Linked DNA regions of Lonchura striata. The protein of the gene in region 1 purifies or fractionates together with the protein of each later gene. This does not show direct contact. Links are inferred from orthologs where the notes say so. Each region holds a gene or a part of one and is shown on either strand. Other genes may lie near its edges. The genes, in order: TJP1 and OCLN.

Region 1 (16,229 bases):
GGAAAGACACTTGTTCTCAACTCTTTATTTCCTTTTCTCTTCCTTCACTTCTCTCTTACACTTCTTTCTTCTGCTGTCTATAGCCATGGCTTATCTGTTCCAGGTTCCAAACTGAGATAAGCAGCTTCCTGTCAAATAAGCCAATGCTGCTGGATGAATTGACCTTGACATGACTGCTGTGATGCCAACAGCCACAAGCCAATGGTGACAATTGTTACATATTGTCACATGATTTGTATTGTTGATGCATGCCATAAAAATACCAGGTGGTAAAGACACAAAGGTGTGCAGTCCCTTGGTTCATCAAAATCTAATCTCTTGAACCTCAATAAACAATTGTGATCAGGCACAATCTGAATAAAACCTTTGCATATGTATGTTACCTGTAGTATTACCTCTCACTTTGCAAAACACATTTTTTCTGGAAACACATGCAGAATTAGAGATGGCACCCTCAAAGCAGGAATACTGGCAGTGACTGGGGCATGCCAAGTAGCAGGCGTTTGGAGGAAGCCAGTCAAGGTTTTGTCTTGGTATTTGCTGGCAAGAAATGGCTGTTTTTCTTGAGCCTTGATTGCACTGGCTCAGTGCATCCTCTCTTGCACAAGGAGGTGCATAATCCATGAGAATTTTCTCTCACACATCAATTTCATTAGGAGAGCAGGACTTTTTTTCTATTTCCAATGCCTCTCCAAATCACTCAGATGTGGAGAAAAACATGACCATTCATTAAGGAGCTCTGTACTCCAAGCACATCCTAAAACCTCTTCAAGGACTAACTGCTTCTCTGAGTAATCACTGGAAGTAGGAAAATATGAGGTGCAAGCACCAGAGCAGCACACAGTATTCCAGGTGCAAGCAAATATATCGACTGGCATAATTATGTTTCCTGGTTTGTTCTTTTTCTTTTCCTAACAAACATTTGTATTTTTGGATTGGTGCCATGCACTGAATTGACATTTTAATGAAAATGTCTATCTGTCACAATCCAAAACTTTCACTTTGAGTGGTAACAGGCAACTCAGAGTTCATCACTTTATTCATAAAGCCAAGAACACTAGCCCATGTATATAATTTCACATTTATCTACACTAAATGTCCTCTGCCATTTTATCAACCAGTCACTTAATCTTAAGGCCCATTTACAGTTCTGTGCACAGCTCTCACACAACCTACATTGAGTAAATGTACATCCTCAGCAAATTTTTCCACTTCACTGCTAAGATCTTCTTCCAATCAATTTTTGAGTTAGGATAAAACAATCCCCTGCAGAATTGTACTGGTGACTTCTCTCTGTATTGTCCCAGTGTTTGATGTGGTTGAAGCCTTGGTGCTGGGGAATGTGGCATTCAGGATGGGTCTGTAACGGTGCTGAGGAGCTGTGTGGTCCCTGGTGTAGGATTTCCTGTGTAAGAATCATCTGCAGGTCTGTGTTGTGCCTCATCCCTTGCACTCTGATCTGCACTCCAGCAGGAGATGATCAACCTGATGTGTGCCTTCCTCTGTGCCTGAAACACTGGGCAGGAAGTGAGGGGATTGTTTGGCATTTCCCAGCAGTGGAGGACTCTGTGATTTCCATCAAGATTCTACATTAACTGAGGTCTTCTCAAAAGGGATTTTTTCTATATGCAGTCCAGACTTAGGTTCTTTGTCATGTGATTTGACCCCCATGTTACATATCCCTTTTCATGTGATCAGACACACATAAGAGAGAATGAACCTCAGAAGTCTGACTTCACACTGAAGGTAGGACACTAAGAGCCTTTGCTAAAGGAATATTTGGGACATAGAAAAAGGTTTTTAGAGCATAGATAGTTTAACAATACACAGCCTTGTGATCCAGTACTCAGGACCCAATACAGCAGTTCAGTAGGGAAACTGCAGAAGATGAGTAGAAAGTCTGTGGTAATATGATTTGTTTTCATAAACATGCAAAACCAGTTAACATATATTAATCTGTTGGAGGTGAGTGAATATAGCCACACAAATAGAACCTAGATGATTAAATAGCTGTGGCTTTTTTACTGGGTTTGGACTTGATTTACCACTACAGTGCACTTAACTTTGCTGTTTGCATATGGAACATGGGTATGAAGGTCTCCAAATAGCAAGGAATTAAAAGTTCCTGAAGTGTGAGAATTATCATATCTCTGAATTTGTGCTCATACTCTTCACTGGTTTGTGTTTGGGTGCCCCTTATTCCTATTGGGGAAGAACCTCTGAATTTTGTTTGCCAGTTGAATGAAGGAAAGGAAGTATTTGCCACTATGCTTTTGAAACATCAAAGTTACATTTGTATGGGTTGATAAGGAACATTGGCTCATTATTGATGCTAGCAAATCAAACCAAAAACTCCTAAATGCCCTGTGTGTATCCTCTGCATCTCTGTGCGTGTGTGTGTGTGTATTGTGTCTAGGAAAACTGGGCAAACAAGTCATTATGCGATTGTTGCAATTCTAATTAATCATTCACAGTTATAATTTCAAATAGGGAGCCAAGGAATTGTACTGTGGTGCAGTACCATCTAGTGGCACCACTGAACAGGGCTTTATTGGAGACAAGTACTAGTGTTCAGTATTAACTGCCAAATGCTGCATTTGTTGATGCTTATTGTTATTGTTATTGTTATTAAGTTTCTGAAGGAACAGAAAACACATGCAAAAATTACATAAACACTCTACTACCTAAATTAGTAATGATGTTCAGAGGTGTCAGATGCCAATATATAACTGTCAAAAAAAATCATAAAAATCTGTGCTGTGGCCTAGATCTGCACTTTTTTTCTGAATAGATGATGTTTACATACTTTGTATACATTATTTTTTGTTATTTAAAGCAAGGCAAAGACTTTCAGCTTTACAATAGAACTTATCATTAGCAGTGAAGTTTTGCCACACATGAGCTTTGTTTCCCTGTGCAAAATGTTAATTTCCAAATGACAGATTCCAGAATATTCTGACTTGAAAGGGACCCACAAAGATCATCAAGTCCAACTCTTAAGTAACTTAAGGCAATCACATACATGGATTGAACCCACGACCTTGGTTGTGTTATTAGCACCTTATTCTAACCAACTGAGCTAATGTTGAAACTTAACTTATTTAAGAGCTGTAAACCACAATTCCAATAGATTCAGAAAGGCATATTCTACAATGGAACTCAGACATTCTAGAATTATAACAAAACTGGGAAATCCATAAATGATACTTCAAACACGAATTAATTACATGCACTATAAAGGATGTATCACATAATCATAATCCATTTACAGGAAAATGGAAAAATTGCGTGCAAAAATCTCTTGTTGCTCACATTGTGAAAATGGACAGCTTGTTTTATAACAACTACAAAAATAGTATCTGATTTCCACAGTTTGGATATCACTTATTCTGATAATTTATTTGAGAGCCTTTGTAACACAATCTCTTCTTAATACATGGGAAAGAAACATCTGTATTTACTATTAATACTACAGAGAGTTACCTGCTTCAGCATTTTAGTTCTCAGTCAACAGGAGAATATAAAATTTTGTTAAAGAAGAAAACCGAAAGTTTGAGGAAAATAGTAATTATTTTCTTTATCATATCTTCATGATTTTCATAGGATCAGCACCAACTGTCCAGTAATGCTTGAGAAATAAATAGAAAAAAACCACAACAACAAACCAACCAAAAAAACCAAAAGGCAACAAGAACAACTCACACCAAAAATGTATTGAAAACAGTACTAATTGAGGTCATATTCAGGCAATTACTGACCCAACCTATAATTCCATCCATTAGTCTAATAGAGGTTGTCTTGTTTTGAAGAGGGTATTCTGGGAAAGAAGGTACAGAGAGGACAATAAACAGAACCAGGACAATAATTTCTGTCCTCCAAACCAGACCAAGAACATATCCTTAGCACTGACTTGCAGAAATCATGCAATATGGTACTTCTGTCTAGTATTTTTGTGAGGGCATTCATAGATAAGCTGCTTGCCCTGAAAAGTTGTAAACCAAATCACAATAGGAAAACCTCAACCTTACTGAATTTCACTTGTTTTATAGACCACATTTTTATTGTACTATACAAGCTGACTTCAGGAAAGATTTCCTTTTTGTCCATTATTTCCCTAATGTGATTCTTTAGTTTCAGGCACTTCTTAATTGGTTTGGTTTTGTAAGTGAATTGTTTTGTGCAGTTAGAGGACCTTTAAAATCCAAATGGCACATATTCAGACAGTGAATGGCTATAAGTCTCCTGGAACTCCTGTGAATGTCTAATGAAAAGTGAGTTCTGACTGGGATTTTATTAATTGTGGGTATAGATCAGCCCATACTGTACAGTTTGGCAAATACTACTCTATTATCATTTCATGTTTCACTACTACTCAGGATCAGTTCAACCTCATACAACTGCAATTGTTTCACAATCATTTCAGAGTCATTAATTTTTATTACATTTCTAAAAACTAACGTAATCCAGACACTAGCTCCAACTTAACAAAACTAACCTAGGCATGCAATAGTATTGAAGCTTTCATCATTTGCTCTTAATATGCTACTAGCACATCAAAACAGGACAGCTTTTAACGATTTTTCAAGACATTTCTCAGAATGTTTCTGTCTTAGTTGGACAGAATTTCTTAACAGCTAATGAGCTATTGTGAGCTGTAGTCCATTCTCAGCTAGATTCCATATCAAATTAGGCAAAGCATGACTCCAAACACACAACTGCAAATGCTGGAACTGAATAGTAACTACATCAATTGAAGCATTTTAGGATTTTCCAAGGTTTTATTTCTCCTCCTTTTATGTTCAAATCTCTGAAGAAGAGACTTAAATCCCAGTATCACAGCATGTATCAGGTTACATGCTGTTCTTACATAGGTCTTCCTCTATATATATGAATAGTTTCTATTCATCTGAAAGTAAATAAAAATAACAGAAACTGTGATACTAACTTAGGCTGTCTGCCACACTCCAAGAAAATGTATGAGTAAAATATTCTTCTACATATGTACTTAGCCCTTGAACACTGAAAACTAGCAATGTCATCAATGCATTACATCACTACTGAATACCTGTAGCAAAGACCAGGGATAATTCCCAGCATTCAACAGCATTCAAAAATCAACATCCAAAATGTTCTTTATACAAAGCAGAATTGTATTTTACAAATGCCAGGTAAAATCAAATGCAATTAAACCCTTGAAAGTTTCAATGTTACTTCACTTATGCAGAAATTAAGTCTTAGGAAATGCTGTGATTATTAAAAACATCATGACAGTGATAATTTTAACCTGTATTTGTTGAATGACTGGTTCAGTTGCTCCTCAGCAGAAAGGCTTCCTTCTTGGTCACTCATCTGACAGGTTTCGTGAAGCTCCATCTCTGCTACAGCTCTCAGATTTGTTTGCTCTGATAACGCTGGGAAATGCAAATGGTCTGGATAACAAAGAAATTTCTCTAATAGCTGATGCATAATTAAAAATAACATCTACAATTTGATGTAATTCTGTCAGTGATGTTACATTTGGATAAGTGACTGATATAGGTAAACACAGTGTCTTTTGACCTTATATTCATAAAGTTGTTTCCCTATTCATATTTCCAATAGACCTGAGATATATAGGTCAGACTATTTATAGAAATTTGGAAATAATAAAAAGTCTTACTCCATGTAAATTTCTTCCTGGCCAATGAAGAGCTGACTTTCTATTGTATCATATGGGCAAGTAGTAACCAACTGTTTCTCCGCATGAAATCACTAGGGGCTTTGTTTTATATTATAGGAAGAATTGTAAGTAAACTAATCAAGTCACTAATCTTGATGCATCAGTGGGGCTATAACGCCACTTAAGTTACTGTGAGGGTAATTATTGGAAATTATGAGGTGAAAGAGTTCAAAGTATTAAAACAATTATGTGCAAGCAACAGTATATCCTTCGGTGGCCACATTTCACTAGCACAGTTCACAGTACTTGCAGTGAGCCACATTAATCCACAGCCTGAGTGACCTCTTGGAGTCATGCCACATTTCCAGCACCTGTCAAATGGTCCTTTCTGTAGGGCATGCAGACAATGGAAACCCATTAAAATAACCATATCTGCCAACAGGGACAGGTCCAGAGAACAGAAACTGGTCCCACTGTACATGCAGCTGATCAATAACAGGAATTGATTCTATTCTGTGTGCTCAGTCAGCCTTCCACAAAGAGTGTCTTTAACAAGTACAGTGGGCAGGATGGCACTGCTCTGGTAGTGCTGATGCCACATAGCACAGGCATAGCAGCTTCTCGTCATGCATCTAGACTGCATTCCTTCCTCTTGATTCCTTTGCCCTATCAGTCAGCTTTTAGAGGATGGAGAAGAAAATTATGGTAATGGAAATAATGAACAATGTTCTTTTTCATCACATCTTTCTGTGCACCTTGTAACACGGTTTATCAAAATTGATCTATAAAAATCCACAATGCCAGAACACATAATGCATTTTAATTGAATCTGCAATGTATGTGTGCATGAATTTAAACAGATTATTTGCATGAATTAATGTGTATATATAGCATGTGTTTTTCTTTGCCTGTTATCCAGTCAATTATTACTAGCAAAAGCAGATTCTAAAACTAGCTTTGCATATTTGATAAGCACTACTGGGGGAGGGGAAGGAAGAAAGAGTGTAATAGTGGCTGAGCTAAGGCAGCCTGAGGCATTTTTCTGCCTGCACAAGGCACAGACAGAATGGATTGGGATGCTGTTCCAACAGTATCCTTTACTCTTGGAAATGTGTGGCATTTGCTTTCTCCTTTTTCTCTGTATCTCCTGTGATGTTGTCAGGGAGACAGAGTCCTTGACTTGCACTCCTCTGCTGAGGCCATCCCCTTTAGAGCAGTGCTACCCCCAAACCTTGTACCCACTGGAAGACTGAAATCTGTTCTGTGACAGGCCCCTGCATGATCTATTTAGATGGCATAGAATAAAAACCCTCCCTGCACTGTCTCTTCAGTTAAATCAGAGGAAGCCCAAATTTTCATTCCAAAAAGTGTATTCCAAAAGACCTGGCTTTATAATGTATTTATAATCAATTGTATTTATATTTCTATGCTTAAAAAAAAAAAAAAAGATAGTGAAAAGAGGGCCTAGGTAGCTTTTTTTATAGCATTGTAGTCTGTGAAGTATTTTGTACATGTATTAAATTCCCCAGCAACATCCTTTGATTTTCTTGTTACTGCCATAAAACCTTATTGTAAATTGATCTTGAAAAGCTACATTAAATGGGCATCTTTCATAATTAAATTAGGGTAAAATGTCTGTTGCTTTCTCATGTAATTAGAACTCCAACTGTCAATTTTAAAAGTAATCAGGCTGTCAAGAGAGGGCACAATCTAGTTATTTCAAAGGTCAAAATGGTTTTATATTTCAAATTTTTTCATATTTAGTTTATTAATGTTTTTTACAGGACTCAGACTTATTTTATTTATAAATACTTGTAATTTTAAGTTGCTTAAACCTGGTACTGAATAGATCAGTGAAAGATGTGACTATTTTAATTACATTCTAAAAGGACATTCCCTATATAACCTTTGAGCACAACCCTGCAGTCATTGCTGAGAAAAACTCTAGTTGACTTGATAGACTGAAATTTAGAATATAACAGACACAAAAAATAAAAATAGGTCAGTAAGATATAATTGTAAGCACCCTACGCATTTTTCACATTACCTTTGCTAATATCTAGCAAAATATTGTTCCGCAAATAAGTACGGCTGGTGCCTGATGGCCAAATCACTATTTGATTAATTTCACTCGTATTGTTGATATTTAGGAATTCAACCCTTTTTCACACAGTTGTTTACAGACAGATACAATAACTAACAAGAAAAATGTGAACGGGATCACTTACTCGGGTTTTTGCCTACAGAACTTCTCAATCTATTTTTAAATATTTCAGAAAGCGTAAGGAACGTAAATAATCAGTGTTACATTTCTCATCTAAGCGTTATCAGTAATACCTAGAAATCCTTTTCACCATCCTGACTTTCATTTATTAATAGCAGCAATTTGAGTATTCAGCATTTTATCAGGTTAAATGTTCTAAGTATAACAATAAAATATATTTAAGATTTTTTTTCTCCTAATTATTTTTTATTTCATAACTAAAAACCATAAAGGTAGTAAATACTATCTCTGGTTTAGTGCAAGAGAGAAAGTAAACACTAATTATAGCAAATAACTATTAGTGTCAAAGGATTGCAAGACATTACCAATATACACTTAAGCATTTCAGAGCAGTGACCTTACCTTCATAGCCAAGGAGAAAACATGTCAGCAAGTTAGGAGAGACCTCCTCCAAAATGGAACAAAAGGCAGAGAAAGCACCTGGGCCTTTTAAATAGAGTTTATCTAGAAAATATTCTGTTCTCTTCTTGTAGCTCTCCTGAGACCAAATGTCTTTGTATTCCTCCAAGGAAAAGACTCTCTTGTAAACCAAATATGACAGCACTTTGTTCACATCCAGCTCTTCCAGTATTTTCTGTCTCTGATTGCTTGGGATTTCAGAGAGCCACTTACTCCTGTTTTCATTTTCTCTTCTGGTAGATTTTGCACAGTTGTAAAACCAAGACTTGGCTGTTCTTCCAAACATTTTGATATTTAAATAGAAAATAGAAAATTCTACTTCTGCATTTCTCGTGCAGCATTCAGTATACAGAATCAACATAATGTGGATAGCTAGAATGCATATACATACTGATGTCTGTGATTATTGTAATACCAATGGAATGAAGAAGGCCTACATACAAATTATAAAGAAATCTAGCTCAATGCCTGCAGCCTCCTAAGAGGATTACATTACACTAATTAGCCCTTTACAACTGTTAACAGCTTCTGAACCATAATGATGAGACTGAGAATTGCTTAGCTACTGTTACTTTTTAATTCTATAACTGATCTTCAAAGATATCTCTTTGCAAAAAATAATTCATTCTAGAAGACAGCTGATCAAATGGAAATAATCTGTACAAGCTGGTACAGGACATAAAATAAAGCATCCTTTGTACACTTTGATTTTATATTCCTCAGAGGCCATACCCAAACCACAGTACAAATACCATCCAATTCTTGTTCTTCTATAAAATATTAGCTTTAATATGGAATGAAATTACACATTTAGAAAGCATGTTTCTATATATATTCTGTAAACCTATATGCAAAAGGTAAAAAAAAAAAAAAGTTACAGAATAAGACCTTTTTTGTCAAGGTAAGTACATAACTACTAAGAATAACAACATTTCTACATGTCTATATTTTTATGCCATTTCCAAGCAAAATAAATCATGTAGCATTCGTTTCCTGAGCCAGGTTTAACAGTGGAGATTACTGCAATCCCAGTGGAGGTGTTCTGCCACTGATAATCATTCATTGAGGATCACACATTACATAACCTCCCTTATGCAAATGATCCTTAGTACATGGACTTCTCGGTCTTGTTTTCATACTTTCTGTCAACATAAATTCCCTCTATGGAAAAGCTATGAACATTTCCTGCCTCCCCTTCCTGTTTCTTAGTCTATTTTTTCTTTTTCTATTTCTTCCAACTGATAATGCATCCATGGCCTTGCTCATGTGACCTTACCTGCACTTTTCTAAAGGGTAGTTTATCTGTTGTGGAGCAAACAAAAATATTTTGCCAAGCTTTTAGTCCAATGAGTTTTAGAATATTTTCTGTTCTTGTAATCTTAAGTTGCAACCATGGTATCCTCCTCTCAGGCTTCTTCTGTTTCCTAAAGTTCAAGTACATTCAGTTAACATTAAAGTTGACCACTGACCATATCCTAACACAGGAATCTTCTTGTGTATGCGAGCATCCAGTTAGCCAGCGAGGCTTCACGGAATTGTTTGGCAGCATTGCCTGTCACCTTGTGGTTGTTTGCAGATACAACAAGCCTCTGTGTGACACATCATGTGGGGCAAGGACCATGGGTTTGTGTTTTATTTGAAGAAATATTAATTGTCTCAGTTTACAATGTTATGGCTTACTGGCCATAACGCTGCTGTGATCATCTCAGGTAGAGCTCCCTGTGCTCTGCACACCACACACCACAGAGGGCCCTCTGGGGGGACAGAGATGGTGCAAAGCAGCTGCCATCCCAACATGAGCCATCCTAACCACGAGCCAGGGAGCACAGCTAAACCAGCTGCACAGGGCAGAGAAAGTAGCCAACCTATCTGGCAGGTCTTCTAGATAGACTTTGGAAGGAGGCTTTAACTCTCCAAATTCCCTCTAGCTTTGAACATTCATAGAGGTAGTATGATTTTTTTGCTCTCTTCAAATTGTTTCTGTCTCATAAGTTCTACTAATTAACACCACATTATCTCAGCAAATAAAAGATCCTGATAGAGGATATTGGCACTGCACATATGTTAGACAGCATCCTCTGAATCAGCCTTCTCAGCCTTCAGAGGGGAAGTTCTTCCTTACTTCACTAAATGCCAGAGCAAGCCCAAAGTTACACGTTTTTGAGTTCATAAGGCACTACCCAAAGATGAGATACAGAAGATATAAATTGAATACATTTCTCAGAGTTTAATTTAAAAAACAAATCTGTGTTTATTCTATTGTGCTGATAACACTGCTTGTCATCAGTATCCTAAGCAGACTAATTATTTCTGCACAGTAGTGAATTTAAAAATTAAAATAGCAAGTAACCTATCAAATTCATAATGAAAATAGATTTCTAAAGGAAGCTATAGACTATGTTTTACTTTCACAACTGCCAATCTAACCTCAAAGATACACATCCTTGCTATAGTGAGGGATAGACAAAGGTGTTGCCAAGTTGCACCTCTTCAGGAAAGGAAAGAAGAATTGTTGCAAATGAAAACAGTGCATTGTTACCAGTTTGCTGAGGTATATGAACCTAAAATTTGTGAGTATACACTATAGGAGAGTCTTTGGACTTGATGCACTGAATAATTTACTTTTTTCTTCTAAAGGAGTACAAGTTTTGAGCCAGAAATCTCCCCATTATTTTTGCTGGTAAAAGAATATATTCTTATAACCTCAAATATGTTCTTATAAAGTCTTAAAATCACAAAGAATGGGTGATATAGGAAATGTATCAAGTGGCGCACAGTTACAAAATTTATCTCTCTACCTTCTCACAAACCATATAGTTATTTCCCACTGTGTAAATAGAAGAATAAAATGCTAAAATTCTGATTTGCTAATTGCCAATTTGGTAATAAAAGCCCACAGCTTTTAAAGTCTGAGTATAGATTAAAGGTGAAAATTTGAAAATGTGTGTTGAGAAACTGAACACAGAAAAGTGAGTGTGAAGTACAATCAAAGCAGGAAACTAGATAAATTGAAGATGCCAAGGAAGTGTTTAAGACAAAAGGATACATGGAAGTACATGGTGGATATGAAAGATTTGTGATGGAGAGCTATTCTTTTCCCAGAGTCAAGAACTGAGGTATTTAACTGCAATGACCTGTAAATGATGCAGCAGACTGTTGGGCTGTGCAATAGGAATTGTACAATTCTCCCAAGCTCTGAGTCCTAACATCTGGCAACTCAACCCTCTTCAAATTATTTACCTTCGTGCTAAGTTCTGCAATTTGTGCTAAGATGCTGAATAGTTTCAATCAGCCTGATTTAATAAGAAAGTGTGTCAGCCAGGAAGCATCTACTACAAATAACCTCCGGCAGTGTTCATTTGACATTGAAGTCAAATAAGAATGCAATCTGACCAACACGTTTTAACACTGACATTGTTTAATAAAGCGTTCAAGGAAAGACTGAATGTGGCACATGAAGCCATAGTCCACTTGACGGTCCTCGGTCATAGGCTGGACTCGATGATCTCAGAGGTCTTTTCCACCCCAACTGATTCTGTAGATATCGACACTTCCCAGCTGCTCACCGGCCTCAGGTAGGCTGATGAATCCCCGGCACAGCAGCAGGTGCTCCAAAAAGCGGATTGCTCAATGAGCAGAAGGGGCGATGGGAAAAGGAACGCCCGGCAGGGACGCCGGGCGGGCTCCGGCGGCAGCGGGAGGGCCGGGCCGGGCCGGGCCGGGCGGGGCGGGGCCGGGGCGGGGCGGGGCGGGGCGGGGCGGGGCGGGGCGGGCGGAGCGCGCCGGGGCCAACATGGCGGCGGCGGCGGCCGAGGCGGCGGAGCTCCGGCTGTCGCGGCAGGAGCGGGAGCTGCGCTGGCTGGCGGCGGAGGTCGGCCGGCTGAAGGAGCCGCAGGAGCTGCAGTGCCCCGGCAGCGCCAGCCCCGAGCTGCAGCGGCTGCGGGCCGAGAACGAGAAGCTGCGGTACCGCCTGCTGCACCTGCGCCGCAGCCTGGCGGCCGAGCTGGGCCGGGCGGCGCCGGCGCAGCCCCCGGCCGGCGGAGAGGTAGCGCCGGGGCCGCTCGGGGCGGGGCGGGGCGGTGACCCCGGGCCGGCCGGGCCTCCGCCGGCGGGAAGGGACGGGACAGGGGCGCTCACGGGGCCGAGCCGCCTGTGCCCGGGCCCCGGGAGCAGAAGAAGCCTGTCGCGGTGCCTGCCCGCACTGGGCAGTGGTCTCTGCCCTTGCGCCAAGGCGGCGAGTTCGCAGAATCATAGAATGGTTTGGGTTGGGAAGGACCTTAAAGCCCCCTGCCATGGGCAGGGACATCTTCCACTAGACCAGACTGATCAGAGCCCCATCCAGCCTGGCCTTGAACACTGCCAGGGATGGCATCCACAGCATCCCTGGACAGACTGCTCACTGCTCCAACGGCCTCGCTGGGGCGATTTTGCTGGTGATAGTTGTAGTAGTGAAATTTGGGAAATTGTGTTGAGAGGACTTTGCTTGGTGAGCAGCACTGCTGTGTCTGCAGAACATCAAAAGGATGCAGTTTAGAAGTGCCATGAGAAGTCTGTGTACTGAGGATATACCTTGTTCCCTGTAATTGCCTTTTTAGCCCAATATTATACTGGTTTGGTTTGGTTTGTTTTGATGATTGCTGGAAAAAGCACTTGAAGGTATAGTAGAGGTTTACTTAGTATTATCACTGTTTTCAGAAAGTCTCCAGTGCAAATCCAGCTGATGCAGCGAATCAAATTAAAAAGAAAAAGGAAGATGAAGCCGTGAACCAACACCAGAATGATGTAAGTGGTTCATTAATACCACGTAGTAATAGGAGTGGTTTTCAGCCAACTTCAGAAAAGGCGCTCATATCTGAAATACTTTGCTGTATTTTGAAATCCCAGCTTTTGGGATGAAAGCTCGCTATAGCACAGAGGAAAAAACCCTCATATTATTCAAGAGCTTAATCTTGCATTATTAGGATTACTGATACATTATTAGATCTCTACATTTTATGTAACAAAAGGCTTTGGGTTATTGGAAAATAAAGTTCATGGTTTTGTGGTGCCTAAGGAGAGTGATGGTTCATGAGGAGTTAAAAAGCATTCATGATGGCTGAATGGATGTTGGCAGCACTGCTGTAATACAATAGAGCTTAATAATTCACCTTAAGCTAAAATGCAGGAACCTTCATGTGAACTGTCTGGCTTGAATCTGATGCTTTGAATGTAGTGGCAGGAGCAAGGGCTTATTGGAGTGATCCAGATTTCTCCAGGACATCTGCCAAATGCAAATTTCATTGGTCAGGAGTATAAGCTGCTTTCTGAGGTCCAGCTCACAGACCCATTTAGGCCCAGATTGATGAAAGTGCATGGAAAATTAGAAAATCACTATAAAATAGTCAGTAAGTTGGATGGGACTATTCTGTATATTATTCTTTATAAATGTTTTACTGAATTTTAGTGTAAATTCTAGTACAGTTAAATCTGGACATGTTGGAACCTCTGGGGATGCACCAACACTGTGAATCCTTTTATTCTCCTTGTCTCACAAATATGTGTGTGTGATCTAATTTATGTGTTACAGCTCCAGTGTATGCCAAGCTTCATAGAAGACAGACTGAAGCTTTATGAAGTACTGAAAAAAGAACATGATGCTTTGCTAGCTTACAGAGCAGCCAACCAGAGCAGATCTATCAAAGTTACTCTGACAGATGGGGAGACAGTTGAAGGGGAATCTTGGAAAACCACACCATATCAATTAGCTGTAGGAATTAGGTAACCTGCACATTCAAGTAGTTGTACTTCTGTAGTGCTAAAACTGTTACTATCATTTGTCTCTTACCTTCTTATATAAAATATGTTTCACAGTCAGTGGGTGGTGGCTCCCTTAAATTGGTTTGCTTGGAAAGCATTGGCACATCAGCTTCATGTAGTAGAAACAGCTGGTTACAGTGATTCTGTGCCGGGATCATAATGCTTCCAATTGCATCTGTGGCACTGCTTGGAATTAAGAGACATGGGAAGTTTTGTGAGTTAGCTGAATCCGTAGAACTTGTTGTAAGGAGTAGCCTTTCCTCCAGGCCACCAGCACTGAAAAGTGTTGAACAAAACCTCTTAAGACCTTAAGGTTCTATACCTTAAAAGTAGGCAAGTGTTTTAGATGACCACAGAAATAAAAGTTTATGGTCTTCAGATGCTACAAGATGTGCATGTGGTCTCATGGGGTTTAGAAATCTAAAGTCTTTTACAAATTGGAACCTAAATATTCTTGTCTCTTCTGTTTCTTTAGTCAAGTGTTGGCTTCAAATGCAGTCATAGCCAAAGTAAACGGTGAACTCTGGGATCTGGACCGTCCGCTGGAAGGAGATTGTACTCTAGAGCTGCTCACCTTTGATAATGAAGAAGCCAAAGCCGTGAGTAAAACACTGGTTTCTGCTTGATTAAAGAAACTAATGACATAAAATTGATTGCACCATTAAGCTTTTAAAATCTTACATTAAAAAAACCCACAAAACTATTCAAGTAATGTATTTCCTATGATTAGGTACTAAGTGCCTATAGTCTCAGACTGAGTAAAATCTTTGTGTTCTTTTCATCCTTCTCTTTTACACAAACAAGTTATTTCTCAAAGGAGTTTGTCCACAAAGCCTTGATTTGTATGTTAACTTGAAACGGTCTGTGATTTGGCTTGGTGCATTTGAAGATCAGACAGTGAAAGCAGAGTGAGGCAGTCTCTACCATTTTCTAAAAACTGTCCAATATTAGACTTGAGTCATAAATAAAATTTACACCCCCTTGTACTGGCACTGTTTATTAGATCCTTAGTAGACATTTCATAGTCAGTTAAACTATATGTATACTTAGCAATGTGACTGAGATTTTTCTTTTCAGTCTGCAGCTTATGTTATCTTTATACACTAGGATTGGACTTCAGTTTTGTGAAAGAATTATTCATGGATTAAGCTTGTTGGAGACATTTCAGGAGCCTGTCAAAGCTTTATCTTATAACAATAGCTCTGAAATAGTCTCAATTAATAAGAAGTCAGAACATCAGACTGGTATTGATCTATTGATTCCCTCTTCTGACATTTCAGGTAATGCAGTTTACAGGCCCATTAATAAATGTACTGGATGTGAACAATGGCAACCTAATTGGCTACGTTGCTTTAGATGTGATTAGTGGTGCATAGACTTTGACTGAAATTACCTTATAAATGAAACAAGGTACAGTAAGTAAGTTGAAGGAATTGTGCAGAGGTATAATCATCCTCTTTCAGACTGAAGTATGGTGGGCCTTAAGTGCTACATCTGCCATTATCTTTTAATTTTGAATTATTCTAAATGAGTAATATAAAGTTGTTTTACTTCTCTCAAAATTTGAACAACATTGATTCCAGTCTGTGACCTATCTGCAGATATCTCTAGTTTGTTTTTTCTTCTTTTTAGTTACACAATGCCATTGACCTCATGGTTTGCTCACTTGACTTCATTTACAGGTTTATTGGCATTCAAGTGCTCACATTCTTGGAGAGGCCATGGAAGGATATTTTGGGGGCTGCTTATGCTATGGACCACCGATTGAGAATGGATTTCATTATGACATGTATATTGAAGACAGGTAAAATTACAGTGCCTTAGAACTTTAATACTCCTTATTAAAGCTCAGTACTACAATTATTTCATTTGTTTCTGCATGTTAAAAGTATAATCTGTCTCTAATAATGTGATTTGAAACATAGTCTTGTGTATGTACAATTCAGTTGATTGAGTGTATATATTTAAATTCAGAAGTAGTGTTCAGACACCTGCTCTGTAAGAGTTGAAGCTGATCTGTGGAAAAAATGCAGAGCATTTGGGTTGAAGTTTCTGAAGTTCCTGTAAGGCAAAGGGGATGGCTTCCTTGAG
Region 2 (15,401 bases), on another chromosome or scaffold:
TTGGAGGGGAGAAATTGGGGATTTCAGGAGTTCTGCTTCAGTTTGGTTTTTTTTTGGGAAATAAATCCCACTGGGAGCAGTGGGATGGGGGGATTTGGGATTTGGGGGGGTTTGGGTTTCTCTTCCCAGGGTTTGAGGGGATTTGGGATTTCTCTTCCTAAACAGAGAGATTTGGGATTTCCTTCCCAGAGTGGAGAGATTTGGGATTTTTATCCCAAGATTCGTGGGGATTTGGGTTTTCTTTTCCTGAGCTGGGAGGGTTTCGGGATTTCCCCTCCCAAATTTAGGACAATTTCTGCCTTCCCATTTCACCCCAACCCCAAATGAAAATCAACAATTACACTTAATTTATTACAAAACAATTAAAAATATTACACAATTCCCACAGTTCCCACCAATTCCCTAGGAAACATTTGGGGATTTGGGTCCCCCCCAAAAACAAAACCCCAAAAGCGTTTTTTTATCCCCCATACCCCAACTTGGGAGCCCCAAAACCCCTTTAAGGCAGCCAGGGGAGTGCAAACCCCATAAAAAATCCTATTTACAACCAGGGGAAGGCACTTGGGGGGATCCCAAAGACTTTGGGGACATTTGGGGACATTTTGGGGTGGGGGGAGTCACACCAACAGCTGCCACCAGCCGCCCCCACCCTTGGCACTGGGGAGGGCTCAGAACGAGGAATTTTGGGGTTTTTTAACACCAAAAAAAGGCACAAAAGTCTTTGGAGGGGTCGGGGGGGTTTTTTTGGGGTGTCCCCCTAAAAATGTCCCTTTTTTGGGGCGCTGGCTGTGCGCTCAGCCCCGCAGTTTGTCGTAGTCGCTCACCATCCGTTTGATGTGGAAGAGTTTGTTCCGGAGCGTTTTGGATTCCCGCTTCTTCTCCTGGTACTCCGGGCTCTGGGAACGCATTTGGGGACGTTTAGGGGACGTCTGGGGACACGGGGATGTCCCCAAAGAGGGGGAGACCCCCCCCAAAAAAAAGTCCAGCCCTGAAAAACTCACCCGCTTCAGGTCCTTGAGGTGGTTGTACTCCTCGGCCAGGGCCTGTGGGGACAGCAGGGTCAGGGACAGAGGGACAGACGGACAGGGGGACAGAGGGACAGGGGGTCAGGGATGGGGACAGACGGACAGGGGGACAGAGGGACAGATGGACAGGGGGACAGGGATGGGGACAGACGGATGGGGGGACAGAGGGACAGGGGGACAGAGGGACAGGGGGACAGAGGGACAGACGGACAGGGGGACAGAGGGACAGAGGGACAGGGGGACAGGGATGGGGACAGACGGATGGGGGGACAGAGGGACAGAGGGACAGGGGGACAGAGGGACAGGGGGACAGGGGGACAGAGGGACAGGAGGACAGTGGGACAGAGGGACAGGGATGGGGACAGACGGACGGGGGGACAGAGGGACAGGGGGACAGTGGGACAGAGAGACAGGGAGACAGAGGGACAGAGGGACAGGGGGACAGAGGGACAGAGGGACAGGCACAGGACAGTGGGGTGGAGTAGGGGGAGAAATAAGGGGAGGAAAAAGGGCTCAGAAAGAAGGAAAAAGGGGTGGAAAGGGGCAGAAAGGGGTAAAAAGGAGGTGACAAAGTGGCAGAAAGGGGTGACAAAGGGGTGAAAAGGGGCAGAAGGGGCGCTCCGGGGGCAGCGGGGCACACCTGGTACTGGGCGCTGTCCTCGGGCACCTGGTCCAGCTGTGCTGCCAGCTGTGCCAGCCGCTCGTTGACCCCGTCCATGTGGGCACAGAGCTCCTTGTAGCGCCGCAGCTCCGCCCCGAAATCCGCCTTGTAGCGCTGGCGGTCGCTTGGTGAGCCGATGGGGGGGTACAGCCTGCGGGGACACGGGGACATCACTGGGGACACGGGGACACGGGGACATCACTGGGGACATTGGGGACACGGGGACATTTGGGTATGGCGGGTGCCCAGGGAGCCGATCGGGGGGTACAGCCTGCGGGGACACCACCGGGGCGTCACTGGGAACACGGGGACACGGGGACATCACTGGGGACATTGGGGACATGGGGACATCACTGGGGACATGGGGACACAAAATGGGACACTGGGGACACTGAAAATGGGACATGGGGACATTGGGGACACTGGATATGGGACATGGGGACATTGAAAATGGGACATGAGGACACTGGGGGCACTGAAAATGCGACATGGGGACAGTGGGGACACTGAAAATGGGACATGGGGACACTGGGGGCACTGGGGACACTGCGGACACTGGGGACATTGAAAATGGGACATGGGGACACTGGGGACACAAAATGGGACACTGGGGACACTGGGGAGACTGAAAATGGGACATGGGGACAGTGGGGACACTGGGGACACTGTAAATGGGACATGGGGACATTGAGAACACTGGGTATGGGATATGGGACACTGGGGACACTGAAAATGGGACACGGGGACACGGGACACGGGACACGGGACACGGGACACAGGGACATGGGACACGGGACACGAGACACGAGACACAGGACACGGGCACGCCGAGCCCCGCTGTCCCGGGCCTCACCTGTGCCACTGCTCGCTGTCGCGCTCGTCGCCGGACTCGGCGGCCGTGGTGGGCTCGGTGTCGTACTGGGAGCACTGGGAGCACTGGGAGCCTTCGCGCTCGGGCTGGCGCCGGCCCCGGCGGCGCCCGCGGCGGGCGGGGGGCTTGGAGGGGGGACGGGCAGCGTCCAGCTCCCCCTCGGGGGGCGAGGGGGGGTCCTGGGGGGGGTCACTGCGGGGACACGGCGGCATCGGACACGGGACACGGGGACACGGGGACACGGGGACACGGGACACGGGGACACAGGGACACGGCGGCATCGGACACGGGACACGGGGACACGGGGACACGGGACACGGGGACACGGGGACACGGGGACACGGGGACACCGGACACGGGGACACGGGGACACGGGGACACGGGGACACGGGGACACGGGGACACAGCGGCATCGGACACGGGGACACGGGGACACGGGACACGGGGACACGGGGACACGGGGACACGGGGACACCGGACACGGGGACACGGGGACACCGGACACGGGGACACGGGGACACGGCGGCATCGGACACGGGGACACGGGACACGGGGACACCGGACACGGGGACACGGCCCTGGGGGGTTCTCCCCTTTCCCGGCCCCTCAGACCCTTCCCCACCCTCTCCCGACTCCTCCCCTTATTTCCCGAACCCCCCGTCCTTTTCCCATCCCCTCCCCACATTTCCCGACCCCTCCCACATTTCCCTAATTTTCCCGACCCCTTCCCACATTCCCCACCCCTTTCCTGCCCCTTCCCACTTTTTCCACCCCTTTCCTGACCCCTCTCCAAATTTCCCAACTCCCCCATCCTTTTCCCGACCCCTCCTCTCATTTCCCTCCCTCTTTTGCCCCTTCCCCACTTTTTCCACCCCTTTCCTGCCCCTTCCCCAAATTTCCCACCCTTTTCCTCCCTTTTCTCCCCCTTCCCCACCCCTTTTCCCGACCCCTCCCCACATTCCCCACCCCTTTTCCCCCTCCCCACCTTTTCCAGCCCTTCTGGGGGGGGTCGCTGTACGCGGGGGGGCTGTAGGGTGGGGCTGGCCCGGGGGTCTCGCCCTTCTCCGAGTACGCGACCGTGGCGGCCTCGTCTGGAACGCTCGTCCCGCCCGACACGTTCTTCACCTGGAGAACGGGTTGGGATTTGGGATTTCGGGAGGAAAAACTCAGCCGGGATAAAGGAGAAATCGGCGAGAAACGCCCCGAGAAAAGTCCCTGAGAATTGCACCGAAATTCCCAGAGAAATCCCTGAAAGTTCCCTGAAAATCCACCAAGAAATCCCTGAGAATTCCCTGAAAAATCTGACAGAAAATCCATAGGAAACAGAGGTTTTTGTCCCACCTGGAGTCCCCCAAATCCTTCAGGCACATCCCCAAAAATCCCAAAACCCAGAAACCCCAAAAACTCCAGAAACCCCCAAAACCAAAACCACCAAAAAAAACCAATACAAAAAAAACAACAAAAAACCCACCACCAAAAAAACAACAAACCCAGAAACCCCAAAAAACCCAAAAGGCCAAAAGCCCAAAACCCCCGTGAAGAAACTGGGACAAAGGGACAAAGGGACAAAGGGACAAAGGGACAAAGGGACAAAGGGACAAAGGACGAAGGGACGAGGGGACAAAGGGACAGAGCTCGGGGTTGGTGGCACCCTCAGGGTGGCACCCAGCAGGTTCGGGGTGGCCCCGCAGAGGGACAAGGGACGTCCGGCTGTCCCCTGTCCCCTTCCGTCCGGCCCTTTGTGGGTTGTTTGTGCCGGACGCCGGTCCCCGCCGGCTTGGTGGCCTTGGGGACATCCGGCCGGACACGCCACTTCCTCCCCCGTCCCCTCCCGGGGGCCGCCAGGTGTGTCCCCAAGCCGTGGTGGCATCTGGGGACTCAGATGTCCCAAAAGGGGGTGACACCCCAAAAAAGCGCGGGGGAGGTGGCAGGCGGGGGTGTTATCTGCGGGTGGCACCTGCGGGTGGTGGCGTGTCCCCAAAAGGGACGGGAAATGTTCATCCAGGGAGGGGCCTGGAGCAAATAAACCCAAAGGAACCCAAACAAACGGGGCGAGAGCACAATGGGAAAGAAAATAAATCAGATTAAATCACCAAAAAATCCAATCAAATCAAAAGCGACGCAGGGAGCGCGGCCCCAGGGAAACCGGGATGGGAGTGGTGGCACGGGGACACAGGGGACAGGGGTGGGGACAGGGACAGGACTGGGGGCAGGGATGGTGACACAGGACAGGGATGGGGACACAGGGGACAGGGATGGGGACAGGGGTGGGGACAGGGATGGGGACACAGGGGACAGGGGTGGGGACACAGGGGAGAGGGACAGGGATGGGGACAGGGGTGGGGACACAGGGATGGGGACAGGGATGGGGACACAGGACAGGGATGGTGACACAGGAGACAGGGATGGGGACACAGGGGACAGGGAATGGGGACAGGAACAGGAATGGGGACACGGGACAGGGATGGTGACATGGGACAGGGACAGGGCTGTCCCCTAAGCCACTGTCCCAAGCCTTCCCGCGGGAGCGCTGTGACATTCCCACCCCGCCCCGGGCCAGCCCAGCAGGTGACACAAGCCCGGGATGTCCCCAAGGTCCCCGTCCCGGTGCCACCACTCCGGCTTTTCCCGGTGCCACCTCCCGGTTAATCATTGGCCAGACCGAAACCGCGCGCGGCGCCCCGCGGTGTCACCTGGCAGTGTCCCCAAGCCCTCTTGGAGTCCCCAAACTCCCCCCGAAGTCCCCAAAATGCCCCTAAAATCCCCAAATCCCCCTAAATCCACTCCCGGTGCCCCCAAATCCCCCAAACTTCCCTTTGCACCCATCCCAAACTTGGGGATTTCCAGCCCCGCTGGAAAAGGGGCGGGAAGGACCCCCCGGATCCCATTCCCAGCATTCCCCAAACCCCCCAAATCCCCAAAATCTCACCCACTCCTCCACGTCGGGGCCCTGGCGGCCGGCCGGGAGGCGATCCCAATAAATGTTGTGTTTTCCGTACTTCCAGATCTTGCTGCGGGTTTTGTGCGCGAAGAGGCAGATGAGGCACAGCAGCAGCACCATCAGGAAGCCGCAGGCGATGGCCACGGCCTGGGAATGCGGGAGTCGGGAATTCCGGGAATTCCGGGAATTCGGGATTTGGGGGTTCTGGCGCCGCTGCTCTCAGCCCGGGAGTCCCCGCCGCAGGGGATGAGCCCGATCCCAAAGATTCTCTCTGTGCTTCCCAAATCCTAAACCTTCCCGAATCCCAAACATTCCCAAACCCCAAACCTTCCTGAATCCCAAATCCCAAACCTTTCCCTGTCCTTCCCAAATCTCTAATTTGGGATTTGAAAAGTTTTGGAATTCAGAAAGGACGGGAAATGAAGGTTTGGGATTTGGGAAGGATGGGGATTTGAGAAGGACAGGGAAGATTTGGGATTCAGGAAGGTTTAGGATTTGGGAAAGTCTGGGATTGAGGAGGGTTTGGGATTTAGAAAGGCCATGGAAAGTTTTGGGGTTTGGGAAGGATGGGCAGGATCTGGGGGCCCCCGGTGCCAGCCCCGGGCCCCCATCCAGAGCCGGCCCCATCCCCGTTCCGGCCCCATCCCGAGCCGGTCCCGGGCGGCCCCGGGCGCTCCCGGTCCCACCGGCCGGGCTGGAAGCGCCGCATTCCAGTTCCAGCCCCGCCGGGGGGAGCGGCCCCGGCGGGCCCGGCCAGGGACGGGACCGGGACCGGGACCTGAACCGAGACCGGGACCGGGATGGAAAGCGGGATCGGGATCCCGGGAATGATTTGGGATCGCTGCAGTTTGGGGCTGGCGCGGGGAAGAGCGGGGGTGGGGGGGTGAGCGAGGGGGCGGGGCTGATTCCTGAATCCCAGTTTTTTTCTCTGTCCTACCCAAGTTCCTGAATCTCAAACCCCAAACCCCAAACCTGTTCCCCTCTGGTAGTCCCCATCCCCATCCCGGTAGTTCCCCTCCCGGTAGTCCCTGTCCCCTCCCGGTAGTCCCCATCCCCATCCCGGTGGTCCCCATCCCCTCCAGTAGTCCCCATCCCCTCCGGTAGTCCCCATCCCGGTAGTTCCCCTCCCGGTGGTCCCCATCCCCTCCAGTAGTCCCCATCCCCTCCCGGTAAGTCCCCGTCCCCTCCCGGTAGTCCCCATCCCCTCCGGTAGTCCCCATCCCCTCCGGTAGTCCCCATCCCCTCCGGTAGTCCCCATCCCCTCCAGTAGTCCCCATCCCCTCCGGTAGTCCCCATCCCCTCCGGTAAGTCCCCGTCCCCTCCCGGTAGTCCCCCTCCCGGTAGTCCCCATCCCCATCCCGGTAGTCCCCATCCCCTCCGGTAGTCCCCGTCCCCTCCCGGCGGTCCCCATCCCCTGCGGTTGTCCCCATCCTCTCCCGGTAGTCCCCATCCTCATCCCGGTAGTCCCCATCCCTTCCCGGTAAATCCCTGTCCCCTCCCGGTAATCGCCATCCCGGTGGTCCCCATCCCATCCCGGTGGTCCCCATCCCCTCCCGGTAGTCCCCTCCCGGTGGTCCCCGTCCCCTCCCGGTGGTCCCCGTCCCCTCCCGGCGGTCCCCTCCCGGTGGTCCCCGTCCCCTCCCGGCGGTCCCCCTCCCGGTGGCCCGCTGGCCCCGCTCACCTCCTGCGGGTCCACGGTGCAGTAGTGGTACAGGTACTGGTTGAGCACGGCGCCGCCGGCGTACACCTGGTTGCACATGGCTAGCAGCGGGCTGTAGTAGTAGCCGCCGCTCATCTGCGCCTGCGGGTTGACCCCCACCACGTAGACGATGCTGGCCACCAGCACGAGCAGGGCCAGCACGGCGCTCACCACCGTGACCGCCAGGTAAAAGCGGCGCGACCGCGACCCGCTGGACTTGCTCAGGCTGGCTACCAAGAGCCCCAGCTGGGCGAGGAAGCAGAGCACGGCCGCGGCGATCATGAAGCCGTTGGCCGCCCGCGGGCTGGCGGCGCCGTAGCCGTAGTAGCCGCCGTAGCCGTAGCCGTAGCCCAGCCCGCCGCCGTAGTAGCCCGAGCCGTAGTAGCCGCCCGGGCCGGCGGCCAGCGCGCCGCCGTAGCCGTAGCCGTAGTCCCAGGCCAGCGTGGAGGCCACGCAGGCGAACACGGCCACGCAGAGCAGCAGCACCGCGGCCGCCAGCAGCCGCACCAGCCCCGGCGGCGAGCACCAGCGGTAGAAATGCTGCGGGGCGTCCTCCGCGTAGTAGGAGCCCGGCGGCGGCGAGCGGGCCCCGAAGTCGTAGCCGTAGTCGCCCGCGGGTGGCCCGTAGGAGGTGGCCGGGGGTGGCCCGTAGCCGCCGGCGGGGCCGTCGGAGAGTTTCTTGGGGAACATCCCTGCGGGGGACGAGGGGACAGAGCCGCTCGCGGAGGGTTTTGTCACGGTTTTGGCACCCGCGGAGGGTGGCAAGGGAAGGACTTTGGTCCCTTTGTCGCCGTCGCCGCCCAGCCGGAGTTACCGCGGGGAAACTGAGGCAGGGAGTCGCCACCCGGAGTGGGAGTCGCCAAAAAGGCTTGGAGGTCCCACAAAAACAAACGAACAAACCTGGGAAATTTCCCACAAAAGAACCCTGGAGTCCCCCACAAAAAAAACCACATGGAGACCCCACAAAAAGATCTTGGAGCTCCCACAAAAAAACCTTGGAGACCCCACAAAAAAAACCTTGGAGACCCCACAAAAAACACCTGGAAAAACGCCCCCCAAAAGTGTCTCGGAGACCACCCCCAAAAAAGCCTCGGAGCACGCCCATAAAAAACCTTGGAGACCCCAGGAACAAATCCGGAGACCCTCCCTCCCAAAAAAAAAAAAACAAACCTGGAGACACCTCCCCACAAAAACCTTGGAGACGCCCCAGAAGTTCCATGGGGAAACTGAGGCACGGAGTCACCGCGGGTTTACGTGGGTAAACTGAGGCACGGTGAGTCACCAGCCGGTGCCACCCCAGCCACGCCGGACTCTCGGTGTCACCTCCCTGTCCCCACAGCCCGGAGGTGGCAGGGAATTAATCGGGATTTTTGGAATTCCCGAATGGGAAGCGGCGGGGGGTTGAGGGGGGCCGAGCTGATCCCGGATTAAAAATCGAAATAATCGCAATAAAAAATCAAAATAATTCCAAACCACGACAATTCCGGAGGTCACGTGAGGCAGAGCCGCGAGGAAAATTTGGGGGGGGGTCTTAAAATCAGCAAAATGAACGTGGGGCCCCCCGCGGGACACGCAGAGACCCCCAAAAATCCCCAGAGCCCCGCGGGAAAGGCGAATTCCTGAGGGAAAGGCAAAGCGGGCGCCCGCTCCGGTGGTACCGGGGCTCGGGGGCAGTTCTGGGGCTGCCCAAGGGTCCCGTTCCCGATCCCGTCGATCCGCAATGCCCCGGTCCCGGCTGGATCCCCCGGTTTGACCCCACCGGGGACCCCCGGGACCCGCAGCGGCGACCGGAGCCGGCGGGGACGGGACCGGAGGCTCGGGGGTCCCGGCCCGCTGTGGGGACACGGGAGGAGCCGCGGGGCCGGCTCCGGTACCGGGGGGAGCACGGAGGGGAGCTCGGCGGTGTCGGGGAGCCCGGTACCGGTACGGAGCCGGTACCCCGGTACCGCTCTGGAGTCCGGTACCGCTGCGGAGCCGGTGGGGACCCGGTACCGCTTTGGAATCCGGTACCGCTGCGGAGCCGGTGGGGACCCGGTACCGCTTTGGAATCCGGTGGCGGGGACCCGGGTGCCGGTGAGGAGTCGGTACCGCTCTGGAGCCCCGTGGCCGGTTCCGGTGCGGCCCGCGGTACCGGAGAGAAGCCCGGCGGGGCCCCCGGTGCCTCGGGGAAGGAGGAACCCGCCCGTTCCCAGCGGGGAACGGAGACCCCCGGCGCTCCCTCCCGCTCCGGTACCGCCGTCTCCCCGCGCTGCCGGTGCCGGTGCCGGTACCGGGAGCTGCCGGTACCGCGGAGCCGCTCACCTGCCGCCTCCTCCGCCGCTTTGTTCACCTTAAAATGGCAGCCGGGAGCGGCGGAGGCGGCGGCGGCGGCGGCGGCGCTGCGGGACCGGCCCCGGGTCCCGCCCCCGGGGAGGCGGGGGAAGCACCGGGCACGGAGGGGTTAAAAAACGGGGCGGGGCAGCAGCGGGGGAGCCCCGGGGAGGTTTGGGGGGAAAAGGGGAAATTGGGGGAAAAAGGGGAAATTGGGGAAAAGGGGAAATTGGGGGGAAAAGGGGAAATTGGGGGAAAAAGGGGAAATTGGGGGGGAAAGGGGAAATTGGGGGGAAAAAGGGGAAATTCGGGGGAAAAGGGGAAATTCGGGGGGAAAAGGGGAAATTGGGGGGAAAAAGGGGAAATTGGGGAGGGAAGGGGAAAATTGGGGGAAAAATGGGAAATTGGGGGGGAAAAGGGGAAATTGGGGGAAAAAGGGGAAATTGGGGGAAAAAGGGGAAATTGGGGAGGAAAGGGGAAATTGGGGGAAAAGTGGAAATTCGGGGGGAAAAGGGGAAATTGGGGGGAAAAGGGGAAATTGGGGGAAAAGGGGAAATTGGGGGAAAAAGGGGAAATTGGGGAGGAAAGGGGAAATTGGGGGAAAAGGGGAGATTCGGGGAAAAGGGGAAATTGGGGAGGAAAGGGGAAATTGGGGGGAAAAGGGGAAATTGGGGGGAAAAGGGGAAATTGGGGGGAAAAGGGGAAATTGGGGTCAGGAGAGTCCCCAAAGGGCGGGGGGGCAGCTCCGGGTCGGGCCGACCCCCCCCAAAAACAAACCGTGCAGACGTTTTTGTGTTAATTACCAAACATAATTAATGAATTAAGTAATGTTGAATTACTGCAGCTCCCGCGGGGGGAGGGGGCACAAAGGTGGCGGGGCCTCCCCAAAAACCCCGAACCGAGGGGTGGGGGTGGCTCGGGGGGTGTCCCCGACTGTCCCCGGCTCTCTCCGGATGTCCCCGATTGTCGCGGCTCCGCTGGCCCGGGAACGGGATGGATCGTCCGGCGGCGGTGACGCCTCTGGGGACAGCTGGGGACATCTCTGAGGACAGCTGGGGACACCTTTGGGGACACCTTTGGGGACAGCTGGGGACACCTGGGGACGCCTTTGGGGACACCTGGGGACAGCTGGGGACGCCTCTGGGGACACCTTTGGGGACACCTTTGGGGACACCTGGGGACAGCTGGGGACACCTGGGGACACTTGGGGACACCTGGGGACACCTCTGGGGACACCTGGGGACACCTTTGGGGACACTTTTGGGGACACAACCTCCGGCCATGGTGACACCTCTGGGGACATCTGGGGACACCTGGGGACGACTTTGGGGACATCTGGGGACACCTGGGGACACCTCTGGGGACACCTGGGGACACCTTTGGGGACACCTCTGGGGACACCTGGGGACACCTGGGGACACCTTTGGGGACACCTCTGGGGACATCTGGGGACGCCTTTGGGGACACCTTTGGGGACATCTGGGGACACCTGGGGACACCTCTGGGGACACCTCTGGGGACACCTTTGGGGACACCTTTGGGGACATCTGGGGACGCCTTTGGGGACACCTTTGGGGACACCTTTGGCTGGGAAACAGCCACGGGTGACGCTCAGGGACCCCGTGTCCCCTCCTGTCCCCCTGCCAGCCCCGGGGGACAATGGCCACTGTCCCCTCCCCGCCACCGCCCTCACCTGCCCGTCGCATGGGGAGGGGACACACGCGACCCCCGGGCACAGCGCGATGTCCCCCGGCTGCTCCCCGGTGCCACCGGCGGTGCCACCAGCGGTGCCACCAGCGGTGCCACCAGAGGTGCCACCAGCGGTGTCACCGGTGCCACCGGCGGTGCCACCGCCGCCGGGCACCGCGCGTTAATCATTGACAGCCTCAGTTTCCCCCGATTGTCGCACGGGGCCACCACCTCCCCACCCCCCTGAGCGTTCCCAACGCTTCTGGGGCCGCGGGGCCCCAAAAAGGGTCAGGGGTCCCCCAAAATCCGCCCCGAAACCTCAAAAATCCCCCCAAATCTGTTCCAAACCCCCAAAAATCCCCCCAAATCTGCTCCAAAACCTCAAAACCCCCCAAATGCACTCCAAAACCTCAAAAATCCCCCCGAACCCCCTAAATTCTCTTCCAAATCACAATAATCCCCCCAAATCCTTAAAAGTCCCCCCAAATCTCCCCAAATCCACCCCCAAAATCCTAAAAATCTCCCCAAATCCCCTAAAATCCTCCCCAACACCCCAAAAATCCCTACAAAACCGCTCCAAAATTTCCTCCAAACCACCCTAAAATGCCCCAAATCCCCCCAAAGCCCCCCAAATCCCCCCAGACCCTCCAGGTCAAGCAGAGAGCGACACGTCCAGTTCAGGCTCCTTTAATTTGCGCCTCAGCCCCCCCCAAAACTGCCCCAAAAAACTCCAAATTCCCCCAAACCCCCCCAGCTCCGCGGGTGGAGCAGAACCGGACCCGGGGGGGGTCCAGGGCTGTGGGGAGGGGTCCTGACCCACCCCGGGGGTCGGGGATGGGCTCAGTATTGCATCCAGGGGTGCCCCCCCAAACCCACCCACCCCCATTTTCCAGCTGGGGGAAACTGAGGCACAGAGAGGTGACGTCTCCAAGGTCACTTTGGGGGCGGAGCCAGGAATGGAGAAACCCTCCCCCCCCCAAAAATACACCCCCACCCCCATTTTGGGGGTCACCACGGGGGTCTCTCTTTCCCCCTCCCCCCCTCCGAGCCCCCCCACCCAGTCCCCAAATTTTAGACCCACCCCCCCAAAACCGCTCAGGGCTCCTGGATTGTCCCCCCCGTCCCCTCCCCTCTCCCAGCCCCCCCCCAAAAAAGCTCAGCTCGGCTCCCCTTGTTTGGGGGGTGCCGGGGGTTCCCGGGGGGTCCGAGGGGATCTGGGGGGGCCCTGGGGGGGTTTTGGGGGGCCCAGCACAGTGAACGCAGGAGGTTTTTATACGGAGCTTTCCAGAACAAAGCTACGGGCACGGCCACACGATGGCCAGAGATAAACACGGGGACCCCCGCACCCCGAAACCGGGAGGCACGAAGGGCTCTGAGACCCCCCCAAACCCCAAAACCGGGGGGCACAAAGGGCTCTGAGACCCCCCCCGCACCCCGAAACCGGGGGGCACAAAGGGCTCTGCGACCCCCCCAAACCCCAAAACCGGGGGGCACAAAGGGCTCTGAGACCCCCCCCAAACCCCAAAACCGGGGGGCACAAAGGGCTCTGCGACCCCCCCCCCGCACCCCAAAACCGGGGGGCACAAAGGGCTCTGCGACCCCCCCGCACCCCGAAACTGCCCTCACAGCGTGGGGGGACACAAAGGGGTCTGGGGGTGTCCCCAACCTCCCCCCCCCCCATTATGCACAGCCCAAAGTTGGGGGGGGTGACAGAGGGGACATTGGGGTGTCCCCAAATTGGGGTGTCCCCACACTGGGGTGTCCCCACACTGGGGTGTCCCCGCATTGGGGTGTCCCCACACTGGGGTGTCCCCACCTTGGGGTGTCCCCACGCCCCCTCGCTGTCCCGTGAGGTGGCAGAGGTGGCACAGAGGGACCCCCGTGTCCCCCCCTCATCCCCAGCCGCTGTCCCAGGTGACGGAAGGGGACACGGGGGTGACCCCAGCGCCCCGCGGCCGCTGCCCGAGGTGACACGAGGGGACAAACGGTGCCCCCCGGTGCCGCCGGTGCCGCCGGTGCCGCCGGTGCCGCCGGTGCCGCCGCCGCTCAGCCGCTGTCCGAGGCGGGCCGGGGGCTGTCGGGGGCGGCGCGGGGGTCGCGGCTGGGGCTGCAGGGGGCGGTGGCCGCGCTCGGCCGCGGCGTCCCCGAGGTCCCCGATGTCCCCGGTGGTCCCGGTGTCCCCGGTGGTCCCGGTGTCCCTGGTGGTCCCGGTGTGCCTGGTGGCCGCGGTGCTTGTGACAGTCCCGCTGTGCCCGCTGTGCCCGCTGTCCCCGCTGTCCCCGCTGTCCCCGGTGTCCCCGCTGTCCCCGCTGTCCCCGCTGTCCCCGCCGGCCCCGGTGGCCGCGGCTGGCCCAGGGCCTGGCTCACCAGCCCGGGCAGGGCCAGCAGGCGCAGCCCCAGCGCCTCCAGCTGCGCCTCCAGGGCCCCCAGACGCTTCTCCAGCTCCTCGTGGCGCTCCTGCAGCTCGGCCAGCAGCTCCGACATCAGCGCCTGCGTCTGCTCGGGGCAGGACAGCCCCAAAAACCAGAACGGGGGTCAGGGATGGACCCAAAAACCAGAACGGGGGTCAGGGATGGACCCAAAACCCAGAACAATGGGGGTTTGGGGTCAGGGAAAGCCCCAAAAACCAGAACGGGGGTCAGGGATGGACCCAAAAACCAGAACGGGGCTCAGGGACGGACCCGAAAACCAGAACAATGGGGGTCAGGGATGGACCCAAAAACCAGAACGGGGGTCAGGGATGGACCCAAAAACCAGAACAATGGGGGTTTGGGGTCAGGGACAGACCCCAAAAACCAGAACGGGGGTCAGGGATGAACCCAAAAACCAGAACGGGGGTCAGGGACGGACCCAAAAACCAGAACGGGGGTCAGGGATGGACCCCAAAAACCAGAACGGGGGCCTGGGCTCAGGGACGGACCCAAAAACCAGAACAATGAGGGTTTGGGCTCAGGGATGGACCCAAAAAACAGAACAACGGGGGTCTGGGCTCAGGGATGGACCCAAAAACCAGAACGGGGGTTTGGGGTCAGGGACAGCCCCAAAAACTAGAACAACAGGGGTTTGGGGTCAGGGATGGACCCAGAAGTCCACAACAGTGGGGTTTGGGTCAGGCACGGCCCAGGAGGGTTCAGGGCAGCTGTGACCCCACAGATCCGGGGGTTCAGGGCAGCTGTGACCCCACAGATCCGGGGGTTCAGGACAGCTGTGACCCCACAGATCCGGGGGTCCAGGGCAGCTGTGACCCCACAAAGCCGTCCCCTCACCTTGGCCAGGTCAACCAGGGTGTTGGCCTGGTCGCTGAGCTTGCGCTGCTCCATCTTCACACTCCTGAGCCTGCAGGGACAGCGGTGACCTGGGGACACCCTGGAGCGCTGTCACCCCCCCGGAGCGCTGTCACCCTCCCGGGAACACTGTCACCCCCCCCGGGAGCACTGTCACCTCTGTCACCCCCAACAGTGCTGTCACCCCCTGGGATAGCTGTCACCTCTGTCACCCCCAGGACTGCTGTCACCCCTGTCACCCCTGTCACCCCTGTCACCTCTGTCACCCCCAGCAGCCCCTCCCCAGAGCAGCCCCCGGGGGGGTCACCGCAGTTTTGGGGTGTCCCCCCCATCCCCTGCAGAGCTGGGAGGGAGGGGAGGGGACACTTACTTTTGAGCCCTGCGGGGTGGCACAAGGGACACAAAACAAAGGGTTAATTCCGAGGGGACAGCGCAGCAGTGTCACCACCCCCACCCCGAAGGGACCCCAAAAGGGACCCCAAAGGGGACCCAAAAGGGACACCCCTGTCCCAGCCAGGCCACCCCCGGTAACCCCCACAGCCCACCCTGGAGATGGGGGCCCGGGGGTCACCCCACAGGTCTGGTGTCCCCAGCAGGGGGTGGGGACAGGGACAGGGATGGGGGGACAGGGACAGGGATGGGGGACAGCAGAGCTGGGGGACAGGGACAAGGGATGGGGACAAAGAGAGAGGATAGGGGACAAGGACAGTGGGAATGGGGGACAGGGAAACAGGAATGGGGACAAGAAGTGGGGACAAGGCTGGGGGACAAGAATGGGGACAGGAACAGGACAGAGAACAAGGGACAAAAGTAGGGACAGGGACAGGACAGAGGACAAGGGACAAGAATGGGGACAGGAACAGGACACAGCACAAGGCCAGGCGAGCGGGACAGTTGGAATGGAGGACAGGGGACAAAGAA

The links.
Region 2: the proteins of TJP1 (region 1) and OCLN purify together in Homo sapiens (affinity purification with western blotting; 4 studies listed by BioGRID and IntAct, with this or other methods). This does not show direct contact. The link is inferred for Lonchura striata from reciprocal best matches to the Homo sapiens genes TJP1 and OCLN.

What each region holds. Positions count from the first base shown.
Region 1 is NC_134613.1:9,923,804-9,940,032, forward strand, and holds the start of TJP1 (tight junction protein 1), read right to left. Parts: upstream 8,629-16,229; coding exon 8,286-8,628; intron 5,430-8,285; coding exon 5,285-5,429; intron 1-5,284. Other genes in the region: threonine--tRNA ligase 1, cytoplasmic, read left to right, coding at 12,136-12,387, 13,038-13,124, 13,909-14,099, 14,614-14,737, 15,821-15,942. UniProt on the Homo sapiens protein: TJP1, TJP2, and TJP3 are closely related scaffolding proteins that link tight junction (TJ) transmembrane proteins such as claudins, junctional adhesion molecules, and occludin to the actin cytoskeleton.
Region 2 is NC_134630.1:7,825,873-7,841,273, forward strand, and holds OCLN (occludin), read right to left. Parts: upstream 7,888-15,401; coding exon 7,180-7,887; intron 5,646-7,179; coding exon 5,487-5,645; intron 3,683-5,486; coding exon 3,524-3,682; intron 2,737-3,523; coding exon 2,540-2,736; intron 1,838-2,539; coding exon 1,666-1,837; intron 1,044-1,665; coding exon 1,002-1,043; intron 897-1,001; coding exon 795-896; 3' UTR 331-794; downstream 1-330. Other genes in the region: KCNN1 (small conductance calcium-activated potassium channel protein 1), read right to left, coding at 8,688-9,209, 9,329-9,575, 11,201-11,458, 13,137-13,270, 13,555-13,692, 14,463-14,532. UniProt on the Homo sapiens protein: May play a role in the formation and regulation of the tight junction (TJ) paracellular permeability barrier.